Linked DNA regions of Caenorhabditis elegans. The protein of the gene in region 1 interacts with the protein of each later gene in a pairwise test. Each region holds a gene or a part of one and is shown on either strand. Other genes may lie near its edges. The genes, in order: ufd-1 and M05D6.2.

Region 1 (4,293 bases):
TTGCACCATGCATGGATTCGGCTGATCTCATCGTTCCGCGCGGTGGAGAGAACGACGTCGCCATCGACATGATCGTGCAGAACGTGATGGCACAGCTCGTTGAACGCGGATACGATCGCAATCAGAACAACCGTGATCGTCACGATTTGGTTCGCGACGATCTACCGGATTGTTTGCCGGAAAACCTGTTCATTTTAAAAGAAACTCCACAGGTCAAAGGTCTTGTCACGTTTGTTCGTGATCGAGAAACGAGTAGAGACAATCATATTTTCTATTCTGATCGATTAATGCGTATTCTTATTGAAGAATGCATGAATCATATGCCTTACAAAGATGTTGAGATTGAGATGGCCGGCGGTAGAAAGTGAGTAAATTTGAAACTGAAAAATGGTCACTGCAAGATTTGAAAATTCCTTTTTGAAATCTGAAATCAGCGCCAACCTTTCTGAAATTTCTGAATCTGACTGCAAAAATACGGTACCCGGTCTCGACACGACAAATGTTTGTTAAACAAAAGTGTGCGCCTTGAAATAGTACTGTAGTTTCAATTTCTTATCACTGCGGATTTTTTGTTTTATTTTAAGTTTTGTTTATGGTTTCAATCAAGTTTTTTAATACAGAAATAATTTTTATAGAAAAACTACAAAGAATCAATAAAAATTCTGCAGTAATTTAAAATTACAGTAATCTTTAAAGGCGCTCTTTCAGCAAAAAATCTGTCGAATCGAGACCGGCTACCGTATTTTCGGCTTAAGAATTGCAAAGTTTCAGATCTTGGTTTCGGATATTCGGATATTAATGTTCTATTGTTTCCAATATAAGAATAAACTTTTTCTAAATAAAACTTGAAAACTAAACAATTGAAAACGTCTAAAATAGGCTCAACCATCTAGAAACTTTAATTTTTATTTCAGAACTATTGGCAAACGAAAGGACGCTCAGATTTGTGGTCTTCCAATCATGCGAGCCGGCGAATGTATGGAGACTGCTCTTCGCTCAATCGTCAAGGACTGCGTGATCGGAAAAATTTTGATTCAAACCAACGAGACGACGTTTGATCCAGAACTTCATTATATACGTTTGCCACCACACATAACTCGATACAAAGTTATCATTATGGACGCCACCGTAACTACTGGGAGTGCTGCGATGATGGCAATTCGTGTACTTCTTGATCATGATGTTAAAGAGGAAGACATATTTGTTGCATCTCTGCTTATGGGTCAACAAGGTGCACATGCACTGGCTTATGCCTTCCCGAAGGTTTACAATTTTTTATTTGAATTAAAAATTATTAATTTTCAGGTTAAATTAATCACCACCGCAATGGACCACCAAATGACGGAAAATTGCTATCTGATTCCCGGAATGGGCAATTTTGGTGATCGATATTACGGAACCGGGCTCGAACAAGACATGGACGAGCCATTCGATATGTGATCATCTGTTATCACAAAAATGATCAATTTTCTTCATAATTTATCAAAGTTTCTGTTTTCCTTCCATTTCATCTGATGAATTCCTACTTTCTTGTTCCTTTTCACTAACTTTATTATTATAATTATAATTATTCATAATGTTCTTTCTTTCCCATCATCATATCCATCCTTCTATACATTTTGTTTCCATTTGTTGTTGAAATTTTATATGCTATTTCATTTTTTGTCGTCCTTTTTTTCCGTTCTTCATTTTATTGACTTCTCTTCATGATTTCTGGCATTCAGCTCGATAATTCATTTATACCCTGTTCTTTCTAGTGTTTTTTCGCGTTGTTTGTGACGGTTAAATTCTTCCCTCTACATCTTTGCGCGTTTCCACACAAAAATCTGTACACGACATTCGGTTTTCTCGTTGTTCCATTTCTTTTTTGTTCAACGGAGCGCGTTTGTCGTTGCAGGAATCGGTTTTAATATCATCATCCATTCACGCATTCTCTTTTTCATGTTGTTCATTGTGTTTTTCTTCAATTTTTGTCAAGTTTCCTTCACACGTGCATTTTAGTAATTTCTTTCTATAATAAATTGCAGTTTGTTAAATATTTAAATGATCAATGAGCTCTCTTTTCTTGGTTGGCTCATCCTCTTTGTATTTTTTGAATTATAGTTGAAGAAAACGTTAATAACTTTTCAGAAAACCAAAAATAAAAATGCAAGCGTGGATACAACAAGGACTTCACGGGATGCAGATGGGCGGCCGAGTCGGGAATTATGATCAAACTTTTGTGGTGAGCTTTTAAAATTCATTTCGAAAGATGTTTGCAAACTTTTTTCAACAACAACTTCGCCGAACTACTCGTCATTTCGATCTCATTGTAAATAATAAATTGGATTTCAAAGATTATATTTCAGCGTTAATAAACAATTAAATTTCAGGTATATGGGCCCGTATTCCTTCCCAATGCAACACAGTCAAAAATAAGCGAAATCAATTATGGTGGAAAGATTCTTCTGCCGTCATCTGCTCTCAACTTGCTCATGCAATATAATATTCCGATGCCAATGCTTTTCAAGGTTTGTTTTGTATAGCTTGAAGTAACTAGAAAACCATTAAAATTTACAGCTAACCAATATGGCTGTTCAACGTGTAACTCATTGCGGTGTTCTTGAATTTTCTGCTCCAGAAGGACAAGCCATTCTGCCACTTTGGATGATGCAGCAATTGGGACTTGACGATGGAGATACCATTCGCATTGAGTCTGCAACTCTTCCGAAAGCCACGTTTGCTAAATTGAAGCCGATGTCACTCGAGTTTCTGAATATTACTAATCCAAAGTGAGTTTTCATAAACTCTAATAATTTTTTGAAGTTTTTGAACAAAGTCCTATATTTTTCTATTTTTCAGAGCTGTTCTTGAAGTGGAACTTCGAAAATATGCATGCCTCACCAAAAACGATCGGATCCCAACATCATATGCTGGACAAACTCTCGAATTCCTCGTCGTTGATTTGAAACCGGCCAACTCTGTGTGCATCATTGAATGTGATGTTAATCTCGATTTCGATCCTCCAGAAGGCTACGTTGAACAACCGAGACAGGTGACTCCTGCTGTCACTGCCAAGCCGCCTGCGCCAGATGCATCCGCATTTATTGGAGCTGGACAAAAAGCTGGTGGTAGTGGAGGGACAGGACAAAATGCAACTTCTGTATTCGGAGGAGCTGGGCGTCGTCTCGATGGAAAGAAGAAGCCATCATCTTCAGTATCACTCTCAGATGGAACCGGTGTTAGTACGAGTAATGCAGCTCCAGTGGCGAATGATTTGCCAGCTATTCCACCAGTGGTTGTCAATGAAGACTACAAACCAGGTAATACTTGTTTCATCTGAAATAAACATTTCAAAATAATTGAAAAGTTAAATTTTATGATTTTCAGGTCGTGTTTCATTCCTTCGTTATGATTATAAACGTGTTGATGTTCTCGAAAAAGAGCTCCGAGAGAAAGAAGCCAGCAAGGCAGGACAACCGTCAAATGTCTTCCGTGGAGGCAATCGAACACTGAGAGGAGCCCGTTAATGTCTCGAATCTGGCCAATTGTGCTATGAATAACATCTTTCACTTCACATAACCTTGTAAAAGTTCATCGCCACTTTTTTGTACAGGATAAATTTATTTGAATATATTATTCTTTGATAAGTGTGATTCAGAGATGAAATTGAAGGAGATCTCCGGAGAAAAAAATGAAATAACTAATATTATAGAACTATTCACTTGTTACAAAAATGCCTTGTAAGGTTTAAAAAATTGCAGAACTTGTTTAGATCATAAATTCTGGCTAGCGTCTGTGCTTCCGAAAACACACAAATGGACTTTTTCAATTGAAATTTTTTTGTTGAATCGAAAAATTCAATATTCAAGGAGCTCGGCCATGAAGCTGATGAACCTTCAGCGATGTCAGTGATGGGTGGAGTGGTTTCTTATCCAAACTTCTATGAATGAAAAAACCTGGAGAAAATGCTGTTTTGAAAGCCAACTCTATTTTTTGCAGAAAAAGGTCCAAATAGTCGATAGCTTCACAAAAGATCACTCGAAAATAGTCAAGATTCTGCAGGAAAAAGTCAAGTCTCAATACAAAAATTACATCTACAACACCAAAAAATCATTAAAATAAATACTAATTTATTGATACGGCGAAAGAATCGAATAAAATACAAAAAAAAAGAAAGTAGGATAGCTGAAGCAAATCGAGAGAACGGAGAAACAAATTATACGAGTTGGGATACAAACATAAAATACCATAATTGCCTACAATGGCTGGATGTTGAAGATTGAAGAGGTGGATCAGTTCTTTGTCGGAGTT
Region 2 (4,525 bases), on another chromosome or scaffold:
ATCAACAAGCTCTGCGATAATCTCCGGATCGAAATTGCTGCCGCTGGATGGACAGAAGCTTTGAACTTCGCATTGTGCAGCCGTGACGACATTTCTTCAAAGCTCCGCCAGCCAGATGCACTTTCTCATGCAGTTCATATTGGAAATCCAAAAACTCTTGAATTCCAAGTTGCTCGAACATCCCTTCTTCCCGGACTTTTGAAAACACTGTCTTCCAACCGAGACATGCCACTCCCATTGAAATTGTTTGAGCTTCAAGATGTTATTGTGAAAGACTCAAATACAGATGTTGGAGCAAGAAATGAGAGAAGACTTGCTGCAGTGTACTACAATAGAGCTGCTGGTTTCGAGATTATTCAAGGATTCTTGGATCGAATTATGAGAATGCTAAATGTCAATCCTGCGCGCGACGGAACTGGATACTACATCGAAGCCGATGAAAGTAAGATTTGTATTTATGAGTCCTTATAATTGAAATATGCTACTTTTTCAGATTCAACCTACTTCCCAGGACGGTGTGCCAAGATTATCGGTCCAAAGGGAGTCGTTCTCGGACATATCGGCAAGTCATATTTAAAATGACATCCTTTTAATATTTAATATTTTAGGAGCTCTCCATCCAGAAGTTATCACCTCCTTCGGGCTCACATTGCCATGTGGAGCTGTCGAAATCAATGTGGAACCATTCCTTTAAACATATTTTTGTTACTTCCCGGTTTTTGGTTTTGTTATTGCGATTATTTATGGATTTTTCCTCTGAAATGTGGTTTTTAAATATTTCATGCTTGCTGTTTTTCTTTAATTAAAATGTTTCAACTAAGAGTTTTCATATTGGTTATTTCATTGTCTCTCGGTTTCATCCGTGGTTTTATCTACTCAAAAATTCTATGTGTCTCGTATTTAAAAACTGTAATTAAAGATGTTGGGTGATTGCCTCCTGATTATTGCGATCGCGTTCGGAACTGCCCTTGCCGGTGAAGGTATCACATGGCTTCTTGTGTATAGATCCGATCACTACAAAAGACTGAAAGCTGATATGGACAAGAAGACGAAGAAATTAGAGAAGAAGAAGCAAGAAGTCGGGGACACCAATGATAAAAATATCAAAAGAAAGCTTGAGAGAGAAGAAGAACGATTAAAGGCAACTAACAGAGATATGAGCATGTTCAAGATGAAATCAATGTTCGCGATTGGACTCGCGTTCACTGCACTCTTGTCTACATTCAACTCGATTTTTGAAGGACGTGTTGTCGCCAAACTTCCATTCTATCCAATTGGATTCATCCAGGGTCTTTCTCATAGAAACTTGGTAAGCATCGTTTGAAAAAAAACTCTGATAGCATGTAGTAAACTCGGTTTTTATTACTTTATTTTTTCAGATTGGCGAAGACATGACTGATTGTTCGTTCATTTTCCTTTATATTCTCTGTACCATGACCGTTCGTCAAAATCTCCAAAAAATCCTTGGATTCGCACCATCTCGCGCTATGGCTCGCCAACAGTCCTCACCATGGGCTCCACCAAACTCCCAAATGAACTATCTCCGTTAATTTAAGTAAAACTTTCACTTTCAACTCATGTGAAACCTATCTCTGATAATAAGCACTATTTATTTTCTTTCTCTTCCCAAAATTTTCAATCAAAAATCATATTTATTCTGTAAGTTTCAACTTCTGTGTGCTGCTCAATCATTCGTTTCTCAATGATTTTACTGGAATGAAATATATTCGTATGTTGTGATAATGAATACCAAGTTCTGTAATTCATTTTTTCTATGTTATTTCCGGGTTTAAATCTCTGGAATATTTGGAAATTGTATTCCACGAAAAATTTTGGATACTTTAACATTTTCAGTGAAATACAGAAAAATGAGTGACGAAGAAAAAAGACCGAATAGTCCCTCTGGATCAGAAGACAAAAAGAGCAGAAAACGGCATGTCTCACCGCAGCCTGTACCAATTCCTGGAGCTCAAGAATCGAAAAATACTCCATCGCTTCCACCATGGGTGGCTGGAGGATCACCAGCAAAGTTTGTCAGTCATGAAGAATTGATGAAAATGACAAATGAATTAGAAAATATGGAGTTGGTTCATGAAATTGCAATCGATCCTAATTTTCAAATTCCCGATAAACCAACAAATGCAATTCAACGATGTGTTCAGTGAGAAACTCCTTATTTATTTCAATTAAATAAATTAAAATTTTCAGAGAATCAATGCACAAGGCCTACTACAATCAGCTACGCCGGGATCTTGCCAAAGATCCTCCTGAACTGGAGTACTGTTTCAGTTTTCTGATGGAAGTCAAAACTGTAAGATGTTATATGAATTTTTAAAATAAAATTTCAATTTTCAGATGATTCTGGATGACATTTTAACTGCCCAACATACACGTTTAAAAGCTGAAATCAACTCGATGCTTGACGAAAGTAAATTCAATTTTTATTTTTTTTTTTTTAAGTTTAAATTTTTTCAGCTGCTCTACGTGGCAAGTTAGACCAAGGCCAGCTTGATATCAAGAAAGTGATGAAATATATTGTTGACTTATGCTCAAGACTGTGCTCTCCAGCCCGAGATGTGAAAGTTGCCGAATTAAGGACCAGAACTGACGTTATTGATATTTTCGAGTGAGCAGAAAATAAATGGAGAGAAATATTTTCTATTTTGTTTCAGAGGAACGATGGATCTTCTGGAGCTAATGAAAAATGATTTAACCAACTATCAAATATCACAGAACCGTGCGGCCATCGAGGAATACTCATCAAAACACGAATATGACATGTTTCAGAAATTTCTGATTGAGAATCCGAACGGATGTTATTTTGCCAGACAGTGGCTGAAAGCTGCATATGACGAGTTGTTTGAGAAAAAATTAGATGCTGAAGGAGAGGAGACATCAGTGAAAAAAGAGAGAAAAAATGAAGATACAGATACAGTCTTAATTGATACTACAAGTCGAGGTTATACTAAGTTAATTCAAGTCAATGAATATGATGGATTTCCGGAAACTTTGAAAATCGACAAAATCAAGATTGAATTGCTTGCGGAAAAGTTTTTGCAAATTGTTATGTGTGCATCATCTGTATTCGTCACATGCAATGTAGCAGGGAAACAAATTTCTGAAAGTGCAGATTTCAAGAAAACATTAAAAGATCATTTGATTGTAATCACAAATAATACAGACGAAGAGTGAGTCGCTTTGATTTTTATTCAAAGACCATATACAATAAAATATTATTTCAGACGAATAAAATCCGATCTCGAGAAAATCGGTGAGCAATGTGTGAAAGAGGCAGTCGACACGTCGAAGAAGCTGAATATCGAATGGAATACTGAAAGCTCAACATCTATTCGAAACCAAATCAACGCACTGATCAGCTCAGATAATCCTATCAGAAAGCTGGTTCATACCAGAGTTTCCACATTTGTTGAAGAAATGCTCCGAAGTCCAACTTCTGTTCCACATCGCCTACTTCCAGGTCTTTCTGTGATTCAATCTGAATTGTGTGCTTTCACATCGAAGTAAGCTAATTGAAGAATGAGAAAGTTGTTTGTGAAATTATGCAAATTTTACAGATTCCTTCGTCTCTGTGTCCACAACCGGAAGACATTTTACGCGATGTATTCCAACCTCATCCAGGAGTTTCAAGGACATACTCCTTCGACGCATGCAATCTATCGTGCTGATAGTCCCTCTTCTATGCCTGGTCCTAGCACATCTGCCTAATTCACAGAACAAAAAATCTGAAATATTTGCCACTTGTTATTACTGTAAAGTTCCAAATTCCGATCTTCAATATGCTTTGTGACATAATCTCATGCTTCTGATGGTTATCATTTATATATGTCAGCATTAATTATTTGGTTTCATATATATGTTCAATTATTTACATGAATTGGTGAGTGAGTGCTCGTTGTTCAACAACCTCCACAACTTTTCAAACAGTAAGTCTTCCTCTCGTCCAACGTGTAATAAGTGGAGTGACAGAAGCCATTTCGAGCCCATTTTGGACAGCTTGAAAGGAAAGGTCGAATTATGGAATAGTTCATTAATTTCTACAACTACATATTTAAAAGCATTTTCTAATAGCTATATTTTTCGATTTATACCTCTGAAACGAGTCACGACAACGAGATGTTTGTGGAAGACGAACAAATTGGGGGCAGAAACCACATGTTTTAGCACATTGACGCATCATTATCTGAAATAATAATACATGTTTTTCAAAACTCATTTTTTCCTCTTGAGCACTCTAAATTATTAAAATTTTTCATAAATTCAGCTCTTCCGTTTTATGAACAGTGCTGTGAAGTTTGGTATTAGTTGCTACAAAAGTTCCTACATCGTGGCAAGGCCCATCGAAAAAGCTATCGCGTACATTTAAAGTGAAGTCTTATTCTTTACCAATATTATTATGCTCAACTTCCCCAATTACTACTGAATAAATTTGGATTACAAACCCAAGAAAACCATTTGCTTTAATTTTCATATTTTGTGTTTAAAACTTACAGTCTTATACTCGTTT

The links.
Region 2: the proteins of ufd-1 (region 1) and M05D6.2 interact in a two-hybrid assay, tested with the Caenorhabditis elegans proteins (one large-scale study listed by BioGRID).

Annotation. Positions count from the first base shown.
Region 1 is NC_003282.8:12,328,728-12,333,020, reverse strand, and holds ufd-1 (Ubiquitin fusion degradation protein 1 homolog), read left to right. Parts: upstream 1-2,130; 5' UTR 2,131-2,146; coding exon 2,147-2,224; intron 2,225-2,245; exon of another isoform or gene 2,246-2,251; coding exon of another isoform or gene 2,252-2,311; intron 2,312-2,372; coding exon 2,373-2,510; intron 2,511-2,559; coding exon 2,560-2,771; intron 2,772-2,841; coding exon 2,842-3,302; intron 3,303-3,369; coding exon 3,370-3,509; 3' UTR 3,510-3,613; downstream 3,614-4,293. Other genes in the region: F19B6.1 (Uridine kinase), read left to right, coding at 1-364, 915-1,263, 1,306-1,440. UniProt on the Caenorhabditis elegans protein: Functions at a post-ubiquitination step in the ubiquitin fusion degradation (UFD) pathway. In association with npl-4.1 and/or npl-4.2 and ATPase cdc-48.1 and/or cdc-48.2, involved in the cytoplasmic elimination of misfolded proteins exported from the ER.
Region 2 is NC_003280.10:8,466,255-8,470,779, forward strand, and holds M05D6.2 (T-complex protein 11-like protein 1), read left to right. Parts: upstream 1-1,854; 5' UTR 1,855-1,868; coding exon 1,869-2,161; intron 2,162-2,208; coding exon 2,209-2,311; intron 2,312-2,355; coding exon 2,356-2,428; intron 2,429-2,475; coding exon 2,476-2,626; intron 2,627-2,672; coding exon 2,673-3,188; intron 3,189-3,242; coding exon 3,243-3,521; intron 3,522-3,575; coding exon 3,576-3,726; 3' UTR 3,727-3,908; downstream 3,909-4,525. Other genes in the region: fars-3 (Phenylalanine--tRNA ligase beta subunit), read left to right, coding at 1-442, 494-562, 609-694; F22B5.10 (Calcium load-activated calcium channel homolog), read left to right, coding at 920-1,309, 1,380-1,550; M05D6.8 (ShKT domain-containing protein), read right to left, coding at 3,918-4,014, 4,110-4,201, 4,510-4,525.